2 linked regions of the Canis lupus familiaris genome follow. The protein of the gene in region 1 binds, or shares a complex with, the protein of each later gene. Links are inferred from orthologs where the notes say so. Each region holds a gene or a part of one and is shown on either strand. Other genes may lie near its edges. The genes, in order: CNOT10 and CNOT6.

Evidence for each region.
Region 2: CNOT10 (region 1) and CNOT6 share a complex: the UniProt entries of both Homo sapiens proteins name them as parts of the CCR4-NOT complex. The link is inferred for Canis lupus familiaris from reciprocal best matches to the Homo sapiens genes CNOT10 and CNOT6.

What each region holds. Positions count from the first base shown.
Region 1 is NC_049244.1:4,228,900-4,232,711, reverse strand, and holds part of CNOT10 (CCR4-NOT transcription complex subunit 10), read left to right. Parts: intron 1-122; coding exon 123-273; intron 274-2,517; coding exon 2,518-2,660; intron 2,661-3,488; coding exon 3,489-3,575; intron 3,576-3,812. UniProt on the Homo sapiens protein: Component of the CCR4-NOT complex which is one of the major cellular mRNA deadenylases and is linked to various cellular processes including bulk mRNA degradation, miRNA-mediated repression, translational repression during translational initiation and general transcription regulation.
Region 2 is NC_049232.1:1,536,429-1,540,340, forward strand, and holds the start of CNOT6 (CCR4-NOT transcription complex subunit 6), read right to left. Parts: upstream 2,927-3,912; 5' UTR 2,721-2,926; exon of another isoform or gene 2,652-2,720; intron 2,020-2,651; exon of another isoform or gene 1,910-2,019; intron 1,084-1,909; exon of another isoform or gene 956-1,083; intron 1-955. UniProt on the Homo sapiens protein: Poly(A) nuclease with 3'-5' RNase activity.

The sequences.
Region 1 (3,812 bases):
TAGAGGTCCTGTTAAAATGGAAAAATTCAGAGTTGTTTCTATTTATTCATATAGATTCTTTCATTTTTGCTCTTTGTTTTCTTACTGTTGTGAGAACATATTCTTTGTTGATTGTTTCTTAGGTCCACTCGGCTGTTGAAGAAATGGATGGATTAGATGATGTAGAGAACAGCATGTTGTATTACAATCAGGCAGTCATTCTTTATCATCTGCGGCAGTACACAGAAGCGATAGCAGTTGGTGAAAAGCTTTACCAGTTCATAGAACCTTTTGGTATGTTCTGTCAAAATTTTTCCGTTGAAAATTTCCCTATTTTCAGGGGACCTGGGTGGCTCAGTCAGTTAAGTCTGACTGAGCCTGACTCTTGATCTCAGCCCAGGTCTTGATCTCAGAGTTGTGAGATCAAGCCTAAGTTGGGTGGGCATGGAACCTGCTTGGGATTCTATCTCTTCCTCTGCCCCTCTCCCACTATAAAAAAAGAATTCTGTATCTTCTCATACTTGCAATGGCCTCTGGTACTTTTACCTAATTAACCTAAATCAGGGAATTACTTGTTACTATTTATGAAAAAAGAAAAAAGCTATGTCAGATTTTCTTAATAGAAAAGATAAAAATGACATTACTTTTAGATGAACCTAGGTTTTCTTTCAGCATTTCCTCCTCACTCTATTTTTAAAAACAACTGTTAGAAATGATGTCTCTTGGGATGCCTGGGTGGCTCAGCAGTTGAGTGACTGCCTTTGGCTCAGGGCATGATCCCAGAGTCCCAGGATCGAGTCTCACATCGGGCTCTCTGCATGGAGCCTGCTTCTTCCTCTGCCTATGACTCTGCCTCTCTCTCTATCTCTTGTAAATAAATAAATAAAATCTTTAAAAAAATGATGTTTCTGATTGGAAAGATTTAGTGATTTTTGTTTGCTCTTTTTACACTACCTAGTGTACCCAATCTTGTTACTTGGGCAATATATTAAGAAGTATTCGGAGATATTAAGGGACAATTTTTTTTTTTTTTTTGTCCATTGCCTCACTGACATTTTTGTGGGTAATTATAGAATTATAGAATAGATAGTACAGACTATCTTAGCATTTTTTTATATCTTAATTAGCTTGCAGTTACTAGCCTTGAGTAAGTATAATAAGAAAGGTGAAGGCAAAGGAACAAAGAGGGAGCAAATAAAGTAGCAAAGCCTGACTCAGGAAATGGTTGTTAGGGCTGTTTGTTTTCAACTCACAATCAGTCAGATTTCAGTTGTGATTCACATTTTTGTCTTTTTCTTACATTACTTTCTTTTGCATTTAAAACACTAATGCCAGTTCCTGATTTATAAATACCTGATTGCTGATCAGTCCCCACAGGAGAAGAGGTAGAGTGTGATGGCACCTCTGTGGGGCTTTAGAAGAGTTACAGGATCGCCTTTGCTGTCAACTGGTTGAACAGCTGCTTACTATGGATCTAGGGAGGCATTTTTAAGATACTCCTCTTCTGTACTGTGGGTGTGGTGGCTGGGCAGATTGGGCAGGAGAAATACCAGTGGTGAAGATGGTATAAATTGTGACCTTTCTCTATGAAGCTAGAAATCAGAATTCTACTTCTAGGATGACACAGATGTGTTTTTCTATATAGCTGGGGGTTTTGTTGGTTTTTTTGTTTTTAAAGTAATCTCTACGCCTAAGAGGGGCTTGAATTTATGACCCTGAGATCAAAGTCACATACTCTACCAACTGAGCCAGCTGGGTCCCCCTACAAAGCTGGTCTTTAGGATTTCTGAAACAATTCATCAAATCCTATTAATCTATATTGTGGCTGAGTATAGAATATAGCAACCAACTAGGGATCCCTGGGTGGCGCAGCGGTTTAGCGCCTGCCTTTGGCCCAGGGCGCGATCCTGGAGACCCAGGATCGAATCCCACATCAGGCTCCCGGTGCATGGAGCCTGCTTCTCCCTCTGCCTGTGTCTCTGCCTCTCTCTCTCTCTGTGACTATCATAAAAAAAAAATAAAAAATTAAAAAAAAAAAAAGAATATAGCAACCAACTAGATAGAATTCAATTTTTTTATTTTTATTTTTTTTTTTTATGATAGTCACAGAGAGAGAGAGAGAGAGAGGCAGAGACATAGGCAGAGGGAGAAGCAGGCTCCATGCACCGGGAGCCCGACATGGGAGCTAAACCACTGAGCCACCCAGGGATCCCCTAGAATTCAAATCCATTTTTCTTAGGGGGCGCCTGAGTGGCTCAGTGAGTTAAGCCTTTGGCACAGGTCATGATCCCAGGGCCCTGGGATAGAGCACCGTACCAAACCAGGCTCCTGTTCAGTGGGGAGTCTGCCTCTCTCCATCTACCTCTTCCCCGGCTTATGCTCTCCCTCTCTCTCTGTCTCTCAAATAAATAAGTAAAATCTTAAAAAACATAAACAAAACTTAGTCTTTGCTCTTTAGAACTTTTTGGGGAGGAGTGGTCTGGTATGTTTGCTTCACTTTGGATTATAACTTTTCTTTTCCTGTTTCTTTCCCCCCAGAAGAAAAATTTGCCCAGGCGGTGTGTTTTTTGCTTGTAGACCTTTATATATTAACCTATCAAGCTGAGAAAGCTTTGCATCTTCTTGCTGTCCTAGAAAAAATGATATCACAGGGTAACAATAACAAAAATGGAAAAAATGAGGTAAGTGTTCTGAGGTGATCAGATTAAAGTTTATGGTTAATATTTGGGGTTATTAAATATTTTAACAGCTTTATTGAAATATAATTCACTATACAAAATGGTCAATATTGTTAATAATACCATAGGATTACATACTTGAAAGTGGCTAAGAGACATTGCGAAGGATAACTAGGAATCCAGCATATGATGTTGGTAGTGTTTATACCAGAGAAAGTTTTTAAGAAGGGACTGACATGGGGCGCCTGGGTGGCTCAGTTAAGTGTCTATCTTCAGCTCAGGTCATTATCCCAGGGTCCTGGGTTGAGCCTCGCCTGTGTCAGGCTCCCTGCTCAGTGGAGAATCTGCTTCTTCCTCTCCCTCTGACCCTAGCCCACTCTTTTCTCTCTCTCTCTCTCTCTCTCTCTCTCTCTCTCTCAAATACATAAATACAAATCTTTAAAAAAGAAAAACGTGGACTTCAAAAGGTTAAAAAAGACAAAAAAGGGAACATGATCCGTTCTGGGTTTCAGAAAGATAATCTTGAGTTTTGCCTGAGTACGATCCATGCTTTTTAAACCTGGCGTATCATTATATTCAATGGGAGCTTCTCAAAAGTAGTTTCCTCCAAACAAAACAAAACAAAGTAAGTTTCCTGTTACCCATTCCAGACTATTATACCTGAATCTCTGAGAGTGAGACCTGGGATTCTGTAGTTCGAAAATGCTTTCTAGATGATTCAGATTAGCTTCCTTGGAAATTACTGATTTAAATTATGGTAAAAAATATATATATTTAATGGTAAAAATATATATATATTTAATTTTGGTTAACTTTGTTTTACCACTACAGACTGGTAATAACACCAACAAAGACGGATTTAATCATAAAGCTGAAAGTGGAGCCCTAATAGAAGCTGCAAAATCAAAGATACATCAGGTAGCATACACTCTAAGAGAGATTTTATTATCATGTATATTTACTAATAGTTATGAATGATAAAGAATGTGATAAATCGTTGGAAGAAGTAAATAATTTGAGGCATGTATGTTTGTTTAGCTTTGAAGTATTGTAATTTAAAAGCACATTTATTCTTCTGACTATATTTGCCTAAAATGATAATGCAGTATCTTTCAATTTCTTGATAAGAGATTGAGAGAAATGGCCTGGGAATGT
Region 2 (3,912 bases), on another chromosome or scaffold:
TTCTCCTCTTTAATATTTGTTCAAATACTAAAATATGGTGCATTCCACTGTACTCTAATGCACCAGGCTCTGTATACATAAGTTTACAGTTTATTCAGTATTTCTTAATTTCATATAGCATTTTCTTAATCACACTTTGTTGTAAAATGGCTACCTTGGTAAAGTGAGTAGCAGCCAAGTTTAAGGAAACAAGTACATCAAGATGGAAGCTAAGGATTAACACTGAAATTGGAACATTTTTCTAGACAATAACGTTAAGTTCCATTCACAACAATAAAGCGTATACAAGCACTGCATACCTACAAATCCAAGCCTTTTCTGCATTAAAATACATGTCCTTAGCTGAACCTATTTGGACCTTTCCAAAGCGATAAACACTTTAAAAGCAGAGCTTCTCAGGGGCTCATGAGTAGCTCAGTGGTTGATCCTGGGATGGAGTCCACAGGGAGTCTGCTTCTCCCTCTGTCTATGTCTCTGACTCTATGTGTTTCTCAAGAATAAATAAATAAAATCTTAAAAAAAGAAAAAAAGGAAGGGCTTCCCAACCAGTCTACTCTGCATATGGGGAAGTTGCCAGTGTGCAAATATTGGTCTCTTGCCCTTATGACCCAAGGTCTACAGCTGTGAGCACCACTGACCATTTATTCCAGTATGCCTTACATACATTATGCCTTTCATTGCACTAGGATATGAAAAACGCTTATGCTTCAAACAACGTAAGAAGGTTAACATGTACCTAGTGGAATGCCTAAGCACTGACCGAAATGTGAATTTATCACTACAAGTACAGTGGGCAAATTCCTTTAATGCCTTTATCTGCAGCAAGGACCAAGTTCTATAATCAACTTAACAGTCTGAAATTTAAAAAAAAAAAAAAAAAAAAAACAGTCTGAAATTTCACAAAAATTGTAGGTTCAATTTGCCACCAAGATTTAAGAAACCTGAAAACACCTACAAACCAAGTATGTATTCAAAGGGCTTCTTCAGGGATCCCTGGGGGGTGCAGCGGTTTAGCGCCTGCCTTTGGCCCAGGGCGCGATCCTGGAGACCCGGGATCGAATCCCACGTCGGGCTCCCGGTGCATGGAGCCTGCCTGCTTCTCCCTCTGCCTGTGTCTCTGCCTCTCTCTCTCTCTCTGATGTGACTATCATAAATAAATAAAAAAAAAAAATTAAAAAAAAAAAAACAAAGGGCTTCTTCATCAACATTACCACTGAGACACTTCTGAAACTATGCACGTATCAACTCTCAGAGCAAATCTTCTCAGTCTCACAAGAAAACTTGTCTTCTATTCCATTCTTGTTTTGACTACTTTAGTATCTTGTTTAACTGCAAACTGAAGAGACACAACTACCACAAATAATTTCTACCCATTAAAACACCTTCTGCCCTCCCAAAAGAACTAATCTCCAGCAAATACCACATAGACTCATGTGCTTTCCCTCTTCACTGCAAGCACGTTGGCCACGTCACTTGAACCTTTCTAGGTCTGTTTCCACAGTCATAGCTTTTCAAATATTTTGTTTAAAGCATGTTGACTAGACTAGATCACTGGTCAAAAAAATATGAAGCAATTTTAACTCTAACAGACATCACATTCTGAAGACTGTGACAACTGTTCTGACAGCAATTACAAAGAAAATCTTCAAAACCTTTTGATCTATGACCACATCAGCCCGGAAAGCCTGCAGAACTGTTCTGGAATGGCAAACCCTAGCGTCCGGTGAAAAACAATCAGTGCCATTACCCGCCGTTTTATTTTTCACTAGTTCATACTCCCTCTCTTCCTCCCTAAAATGAAATTTCCAGACACAAGAATGTAAGAAATTCCATACTAGCACTAATGAGACAACGCACCTAGAAAACAGTAAGTATGGGAACTCAAAGTCAAGCAGATTATTTAAATTACCTCAGCTCAACACAGTACACGCAAGATGGGTCAAGCAAGGGTACCTGCACAATGCTGTCATCTGCGGGAACAGTTAAAGAAAAGATCACAGGTGTTCCTTAGCAGGCTCTCTGGGGGGAAAGGGAGGGAGAAAAGTGTCAAAGAGAAAAAGTTTCCAAAGAAAATAACGACTGGTGTTTAGAAATAAAAAGGGAGACATGCGGTTGGGGTTACGGGAGGAAACTGCTTCCAGTAAGTTCTGAGCGATACCAGGAATCTCTCCGTCGGGGGCTAAGTAAGGGCCTCTGAATCAGGTCCCCGTCACTCCCGCCCACTTCCCCCCAGTCTGCGTTCAGATGAATTCGAAAGACTTTCGGGGTAGGGGGTCAACCGCTGGTTTACCGCGTTGCGGTAACCGCGAAGCTCCACACTCCACGACGCACAATCCCACACGGCCACTCCGCCAGAGTTGCCACCCATCCCGGCCGAGAGGCGCGGACACCCGGCTCGCCGCCCGCGCCCCGCCCCCGCCCCCGCCCCCGGCGCGCCCCGCCCCCGCCCGCGCCCCGCCCGCGCCCCGCCCCGCCCCGCCGTCAATCAGCACCCCCCGCCCCCCGGGCTGGGCGCGGGGGCGCGGCCTGGGAGCCGGCCGGATCAGCACGGCCGCACTTCGGAGGCCCCCGACAGCCGCCGCTTCGGCCGAGCCGCGGGCTCGCCAGCCTCACAACTCAAACCGCCCGCGCCGTGGCCCCGCGCGCCGCGACCGAGCGGGCCCCGCGCGCAGCCAGTGCGGGGAGCGCGCCCGGCCGGGCCTCGGGCCCGCCGTGCTCACCTCTCGGGGTGCGCCGCCTTCCTCCGCCGCTGCCGCCGCCTCCTCCCTGTGAGTGCAGCGGGGTCTGACCTGTGGAACCACCATACCAGTCCCGCCCGCTGCTGCAGCGCCGCCGCCGCTCCGCCGCCGCCTCAGCCGCCGCTCTTTGTTCCCCCTTCGAGCGCCACCGCGTCAGCCGCCCCGACGGGCCACCGCTACGCCCTCCCGCCCTCTCGGCCTCCCGCCTCGCCCTCCGCGCTGCGCCCGCTGCCGCCCTCGCCTCCGCGCCGCCGACGCCGCCTCCACCGCCGCCGCCGCCGCCTCCTTCGCGCCCCCCTCGTTTTCATTGAAAGCAAACAAGCATCATGGCGGCGGCCCCGTCCCCCAGCCAGCGAGCACCCCGACCGCCGCCGCCGCTCCAACATCCCGGCCGCCCATTGGCCGCCGCTGCCGGGCGCGACCATTCGCCGTGCGGCGGGGGGGTCGCTCCCCAAGCCCCGCCCCCCGGCGCCCCTCCGCGCTGCGCGGCGATGGGCCGGCCCGGCACTCTCCGGGGCCCCGCTCCCGCCCGCTCCCGCCCGCTCCCGCCCGCTCCCGCCCCGCGCGGTGTTCTGTCCCGCTGGGTCCCTGCTCTCTCCCGCCACTGCCCTCCGTTTTGCCGTCCGTCCTCTCTTTCTGGTCTGGTCTCGGGCTGTCCACTTTTGTGTGCTGTCTTCCCACCGTTTCCTCGCCTCCTTCCCCTCGTTCCGCTGTCCGTTGGTGGGAATGCGGGGCGGCCCGCGACCTGACTTCAGCCGCCGCCGTGGCCTGCCCGAGGAGGCCTCCGGTCCTGAGCAGCCGCCTGCTGCTTGCCTCGAACGGGCAGGAAAAAATGAACTCGTGCCCCGTTTCGGCCCATTCAGGGCCGCGCAGTACAGTAAGTAGGCTGTGGTGGAGGGGTCCCAGCCAGAGCCCCAGCCCGAGGTCTGCCTTCGGAAACCGAGCTGTCGGGCAGCCCGGGGGGCGCAGCGGGTTAGCGCCGCCTGCAGCCCGGGCCGTGATGCTGGAGCCCCGGGATCGAGTCCACGTCGGGCTCCCTGCGTGGAGCCTGCTTCTCCCGCTGCCCCTGTCCCTTGCCCCTCTCTCTCTCTGTCTCTGTCTCTGTCTCATGAATAAATAAATAAAATATTTTTAAAAAGAAATCAAGCTGTTGTCCTTAGGTGGCGAGGAAGGC